Arabidopsis thaliana: one gene and its partner. The protein of the gene in region 2 interacts with the protein of the main gene of each other region in a pairwise test. Each region holds a gene or a part of one and is shown on either strand. Other genes may lie near its edges.

Region 1 (3,776 bases), on a different chromosome or scaffold from region 2:
ATGAAGATGAAGCTGGCCCTCAGGCAGAATATGGTGCACTTCCTGCTCCAGAATATGGAATGGTAGGTGGAGACCAATGGACCACCGCTCAGATCCCTGATGCTGCATGGCCAGGAGAAGGTCAGGCACCAATCTCTGCTGCACCTGCTGCTGCTTCTTGGAGTGATTCCGCTGGTGAGTTTTTGATAACCATTTGAACCCTATTCTAACAGATCTTGATTCTAATGTTATGTTTATTTTGCTGTTCTAGCTGCACCGGCAGATGGTGGATGGGAAGCTGCCGCGCCACCCTCAGGGGCACCAGCTGCTGGTTGGGAGTAAAGTTGATAGCCTTTACTCAATGGTTTAATGGTTATAGACATGCTTTTTTGTTACTTTTGGGATTGAAGAGTTATCGAACCGTAACTGTTTTTTCTTCTCACTTGTTTCTCTTAAGACCCTTAGATGTTTTGCACCTTTTTGTTTGAATCGAATCTATATTTTGCGTTTATCACAAATATGAATCGAGCTTTGTTCTTCCCAAACATTATTCTCTACATTCTTACAACTTAAAATATCGCAATCTTCAAAACAATAGTCGTAGTGGCCGTTTTTGTTTGACACTGGCTAAGGTTTGAAGAATAAATAGCAAACAGACAAGTCGAAGAAGAACTCATTTAAAACACTCATGTCATTTGTACAATAGAACCGTTCAGGACCATAGACCCATGTCATTGCCTCCATCAAAGAGACTACTCAGAGACGTTGAGGAATCACAGTTTCCCTCCGTAAAAGGCATCTGCGAGAAATATTCGGTCTGGTTCTCAAAAGCAAGAAGCTCTTCAGAAAGCAGAGAAGCATCAACGTTGTTGGCTTCTTCACTATCATTAGGTTCATGTTTCTTATTCGCATCGCCCATGATGATATCTTCGAGCCATTGTGTATCAATCAGAAGCGTGTCCGGATTATTCTCCTCCCACAAGAAATCAAGACAGCTACTACTAGGCGCTGAGCTTACCACCGCCACATCAAGATCAGCCTCATGATTCTCCTCTACCTGTTGCACAGTCTTAGCCTTGGCTTTCCTCTTTCCAGAGGATTCGTTAGGGAAATTGAGCTTAGCTTTGGCTCCACGGATTCTCTTAGCTTCAAGATCATAAGCTCTTGCAGCTTCTTCAGCTGTGTTGAAAGTCCCGAGCCAAACTCGAACTCCTTTGATTGGATCACGTATCTCAGCCGCCCATCTTCCCCAAGGCCTTCTTCTGATTCCTTTGTACCGACTGCTCTGTTTCTTCTTCCCATCTGATGCTGAGCCTAGCCATGGATAAAGTTCAAAGCTTTGAGACATAGAACCAAACGATGAACATACAAAACATCAGAAAACAGAATCGTAACTCACCTGAAGCATGATGTTTGTGAGTAGAGGAGAAGACAAATGGCTCATCGGACTCTAATTCATCGAAATTTCCATCGAAATCGTAGATTGAGCAGTCAAAGACGCCATTACTTCTCCAGGAAGACTTTCCAGATGATCTCGCAATCTTCTCCGGCGCTATGTAATCGGAAATTACAGCTCCTCCGCACATTTTCTCAGAACTAAAGGGTTCAAAGTATAAGTTTTAAAAGTTTTGGGCTAAAAAGTAAAATTTCTCAATTTTAAAGGTGTCTCTGTGTTTTTGTTCTTTCATTTTTGCCTGAGCACACTCTTATACGCAGAGCGACAAGGCGTGTTCTTCGGAACGACAATTGGGCCAAGTGGGCTTTGTTAATTTTACCATTTTATCCTCATCATAGGTTAATCCCTTTTTAAATGATTTCGCCACTGTCTGTAATGATCTGCATTTAGCTGAGTTTATGAACTTAATATATTCGATCTTATCGCTTTACTTGGGGGTTAATCCATTCTTATCTTTAATCATATCTTACATTAAGTGAATCGTATATTTGAGTTTTAATGACCATGATTCTTATATCTACCCAGTTTACTGCGTCATACTAGTCGTTTTGGATTTTTGGCATAAGATAAATAAAAATAAAAACCTATACCTATAGTAATGGTTGGCTTATTCACCTTTCAAGAGTCAATAAATCGACATGGGTTTTAACTTTTAACCAATGTGTTTAGTCGTCACGGTGATTAGTTAAAACCTTTATGGAACAACTTTAATGAAAAAACTATACCAACAGCTGGTTTTGCTACAACTTGATATATACACTAGATTTTAACCCGCGGTATATCGCGGGAATAATTTATTTTTTAAAGTTAGTATATATAAAAGTTTATAAATTGTATTTATCTATAAAATAATTTTATTTTATAGTTTACAAATGTTATTAAGTAACGTCCTTCCAAACCCGTCCTGTAAAAATAAACCCATTTATTTTATTAATGTTGATCTTATTTATGATATGTTTATGAATCATTGTCTAAATATTTTGTAATTTTGTAGTAATTAAATGCTATCAGATTATATCTCTGCGCTTTGATGATTATAATCGAATTGTTATAGTCATGGAGAAAAGCAATATCAAAAATGATAATTTTGTAGTAATTAAATGATATTAAATATTTTAGAAGTATTATTTTAGTAAATAATCGTGTAGTTAATGTGGAGAGATTTTGGGAAGATTGTTAAATGTCAAATATTTAATTCGAAGATTTTCTTTTTAATTATCAAAAACAAACATTAAAATCCAGTGACAACCATTGTAAATAAATCTCAACTACAGGATTTATTTAACAAAATGGCTGCAAAAATGTATATATAGATTTAACAAAAATTAATTAATTTGTAATAGTAGTTGTTATCCTACCTTTAGGGGTATAGCTTTTAATTTGAAACCATAAGCAGTCTCTAATACTGACTAATGAACCCGTGGTTTTCTCCACTAACCATTTTTCAAATCTAAACTAATCTATCAACCTTACTTTGAACCTTTGTGGAGTGGTTAATTAATTAAAGACTAATTGATATATTAAATGGAAAAGAATAAAATAATTTTAAAGGAATTAAATATTCGCAATGGCCACGAGGAACCTTTCATGTGGCAACTATACTTTGTAATTTCAACTATACTAAGGCCAGTGTTTTCTTTGACAATAACATTAACATCCATATGCTCATATGCATATATATATATTTGATTTGATCATATATTATTCGTATATGAGACCCACATATATTAGCATCATCATTAGTTTTTTTTTATATTTTATATATAACAAAAATGTAAAATAGAGAGGAGTAAGCATCTTGTTTGTCCAAAAAGAAAAGAAAGGAGTAAGTATATCTCGTAAATCTTTGAAATAATGTCACGAAACTTAGATTAAAAAAAGTTAATGTTGATTGTTTATGGAATCATTCCAAATATCATGTTAACTTATTGAGACGCGCATTTAATACCACAATTAGCATATATTATGATGAGACAATAATTCCTTATATGGTTCAAAACTATGAATATAAATATAATTCGGAATATTTCTCCCAAAGAACCCTTGTAATCTCTCACAAAAATCTCTTGTTCTTCTTGTCTTCAATATGGAGGATGGGGAAGCTTCAACAATCACTTTCTTACCAACCACGGAACCAAAACCCCTACAAAACCCTAACTTGCTGGCCAAACCAAAAAAAGAGACTAAACAAAAAAAACCTAAAACCACCAAAGGTCGACAGAAGATAGAGATCAAGGAGATCATGCTGGAGACCCGAAGGCAAGTGACGTTTTCCAAACGACGATCCGGGCTTTTCAAAAAAGCGGCAGAATTAAGCGTTCTCTGCGGCGCACAGATTGGT
Region 2 (3,790 bases):
TTATATATACCAATCATGTTTTAACGGAATTGCCAAGTGGTAATCAGCAGTGACAACTATTCGTTAATCTGTAACATTCATATATATGTTTTTAATACAAACTCAAATAAACATTCATACATAAAAGATCCTGAAATACTTCGTACGATTGCCAAACAAAATCAACAACGATAAATATTACAAACGGTGTAGCATGTCCCTTAGCGCAAAATAAGGCCCAAGTTTGCAAACACACACGGTCACACATAAAAGGCTACAAAGTTCAAATCAGAGTTTTATTCAAATTCTCTCCGATGAATAAAGCAAATAATTTTTGTGTTTAAATTATACTCCGAAAATAAATAAACAAAAATAATTGAATCCCGGTTTGTTTTTTTCTTTCTTCTTGTCATTTTTATATACAAAGAGGCGGATCGTCCCATTACTCTCCCTGCTCCAATGTAAACCGAACCGGTTAACCACAATGCGTCTCGATCCCGAGTGTAGTACGTTGAAAATTCTAAAAGTAAAACGCACGGATTGTTGGTTTAGTGTTGAAACCGTTTTACGGTTTGTCAGGAACTTTATAAACCGGTTGGTTAATCAAACGACGTAACTTTTGTCTAAGAGCATCGGCCCAAACCAAGCCCACGTCTCTTTGCTTGTTCTTCATCTCCACCATCACTAGTTCATTTGTTAGCCGGCGAACTTTAACGACGACATTAGCTACTCCATGTGGACCTTCAAGCTTTATCGCTCTCTCCTTCTTCTTCGCGATTCTCAAATTTAACTGCTTCGCAACTTCCTCGACCTTCCTCATAATAACGGCCGTACTCTCATCGGATACAAACTGGTCGCAATGATCCGGCGTCACGAAATTTCCAAACAAACCGGAGAGATTCGAGCTCGACGCCGAAGAAATCAAATCGAACGCGTTTAGAATTTTACCGTTTTCTTCCAGATCGTAATCATCGGCTTGGATTCCGATGATTTCGCTTGGATCTACTCCATGATTGAACCACGGATCCTTTAGAATCTCCTCCACGGTGATTCGCAGTTCCGGATTTGGCTCCAAGAGACGGCGGAGGAGTTTCCGCAGATCTGAAGATGTCCAATCCGGTAACTTGTATTGAGCCTTGTGGATTTTCCGGTAGAGTCCCATGATGTTTGGATCACGAAACGGCAAGTAGCCTGCGTTGAGAAGAAACAAAACGACGCCGCATGACCAAATATCAGCTTTAGAACCGTCGTAGCCTTTCTTCAAAAGAAGCTCCGGTGCTACGTAAGCCGGAGTTCCACAGAGCGTATGTAGCATTCCGTCGGGGTGGATCTGCTCCTTCATCGCACTGAGACCGAAGTCTGAAACCTTCAGATCTCGATTCTCGTCGAGGAGGAGATTCTCCGGCTTCAAATCACGGTGGAAAACTCCTCTTGCGTGGCAGTATCTCACGGCGGAGATCAATTGCCGGAAATATTTCCGGCTAAGACTCTCTGTGAAACGGTTGCTGGTGACTCTTGAGAAGAGCTCACCACCTTTGGCTAGCTCCATGACGAAGTAGATCTTCGTCTTTGTGGCGAGGACTTCGGAGAGGAGCACGATATGAGGATGACGGAGGCGGCGCATGACAGATATTTCTCTCTTAACGTGCGCCGTTAAACCGTCTTTCAAACGTTTTTTTTGTACGACTTTGATCGCAACGCTTTCGCCGCCGTTTTGAAGATCCTCCGCTTGGTAGACTTTGGCAAACGCGCCGCTACCGAGGAGCTTACCGAGATCGTACTTACCGAACAAAGCCGACTTATTATCATCTCCGGTGACGTTAACAATGATTGATTCGGAAGAATTAGAGTCTTCGGCCATTAACAAACAAACAAAAAAAACAGAGCAAAAAAACAGAGTAAAGAGAAACAGTCTAGGAATTGTAAAAGACATGCGCGCGGTGCCTCTTCTTATTGAAATTCCTCAACTTGCCACGTAAGTAAGCTATTATTTTAAACAAAGATTTTAAAATAGTTTGACTTTATTATAAAATGCATTAAACAAATAAATGAAAGAAACAATCTTCACAAAAGACAATTTCAAAATGCGATAACATTTTCGATTTTTACTAATTTGAATTAGTTGCGATATATCAACCAGGTTAGAGATAGAGTCATTTTCTCCTGAAATAATTTACGATTCAAGGAATTTTCATGATTCTTTCCCCAATGTGTGGTTCATGTTGTTGTTACCAAACATCTGCCTTGTCAGGTCAACCAAAACCTTCTAATTCCAGGTGGGATTTAAAGTCTTAATTTATTTGTTTTTGTAGGAGCTGGGAAAACTCGACATATTTTTTTTTTTTAAACGTTCATCGTTGACAAAAATAAAAACTTTATCAAAAATAAAAAGAACGTCTATATAAAAATATTTGAATAATGTGAAAGAAAAAAACAACGTGGATTGACGTTACTTTGTATAGAATGCTAAGCAGTATACATGACGATGTTTTAAGCTTCTTTACCGGTTAAGATGGTACTTTAGTTCTGAGGATATGATTTGGTTCTTAAAACATAAGAATATATATTCATCAGGTAGAAGTGTACAACCAAATCAAGACAAGTGAACCGGACCAAATTTTATGTGAACTATATCTCGCAACATTGCATGTGCATGTAAAGATGTTTAGACACGAATGTTATATCGTGGGTACAAATCAACCATCCTTAATTCTGATGAAATTGTTGGTCTTTAACCGCATCCAACCGTAGCAACCCAATCAAACCAAGAACATTATCCAGTCAATAAATAACCTTTAAATTTGAGTGACAAAATAATAACATTTAAATTTGAATGTTGTTTGAAATTCAATGCCACATATAATAATTACTTTTTAATAGCTGGAAATTTTGTTATCTAAGGATTAATGATGGGCAAATTAAGTTTTTCTTATAATTAATTTGAAGTTGGATTCGTGGATCCAAGTCATTCGTGTGTGGATTAAAATCATACTAGTACCCCTTTTGTTGTTGAAAAAGCCAAAAAATTAATCCTTACACGTGAACTTGTTCAAAACATTATCATAAACCTGTAAATTTTTGACCAAAAACAAGAAACCTCTAAAAAAAGAATTAGGAAATATGCAAAAGCAAAAACTCGACAAAGTAAAACGAATAAAGAAAACAACTCTTGCTCATTCATTCATGTGTTCCAATATGTAGGTGTTAGCTTTCGTAACGGTATTTACTATCTATTTGCCTTTTAGTTTATTGACTTTATCTGAATGAAAATTAACACCTAACAGTCGGCAGTAATACCCAACCAAACTTCAAAAGTTATCTCGATTTTATCGTACGGTCACACAGTCATTTAGACTATGACATCCGGGCGTCATTGTGGAGTCATACCCAACCGGAAAAACCAACCATCGAATCATCACATCGAATATAATGCCCAACCGCCAAGTCAACTTATTTATGTGCTATATCGATCCATTTAAAAACATCAATTCTTTTGAAAAACAAATACATCACCATTGCTTTATTATTGAATATTGATCTTCTCATTGTTATCGTCATCAAGAATAAAGACATCTACTTCAAAGAGACACCGTCTTTACCACCGTGATGGTGTACGTCAGCCATCGACATCGTCCGTACACCCACCCTCACTCTTAATTTAAGACGTTTCTTCTTTCTCACGCATCGTCATATATTGTGTGATTTCTTTAAAAATGTTATTAAAAAAACTCTACGAAGCAAAGTTTGTAAAACCAACCGTCAGAAGATTTCTACGACATTTTGTCTTTGTTTACGAAAAGAATTTAACAAA

What was found.
Region 1: the proteins of CIPK22 (region 2) and ERF73 interact in a two-hybrid assay, tested with the Arabidopsis thaliana proteins (2 studies listed by BioGRID).

Annotation. Positions count from the first base shown.
Region 1 is NC_003070.9:27,239,693-27,243,468, reverse strand, and holds ERF73 (Integrase-type DNA-binding superfamily protein), read right to left. Parts: upstream 1,774-3,776; 5' UTR 1,566-1,773; coding exon 1,379-1,565; exon of another isoform or gene 1,328-1,378; coding exon of another isoform or gene 1,294-1,327; coding exon 692-1,293; 3' UTR 501-691; downstream 1-500. Other genes in the region: P40 (40s ribosomal protein SA), read left to right, coding at 1-174, 251-321; AT1G72350 (MADS-box transcription factor family protein), read left to right, coding at 3,522-3,776. UniProt on the Arabidopsis thaliana protein: Transcriptional activator involved in the hypoxic stress response. Acts as a transcriptional activator via the cis-acting element GCC box.
Region 2 is NC_003071.7:16,113,365-16,117,154, forward strand, and holds CIPK22 (CBL-interacting Serine/Threonine-kinase), read right to left. Parts: upstream 1,841-3,790; coding exon 545-1,840; downstream 1-544.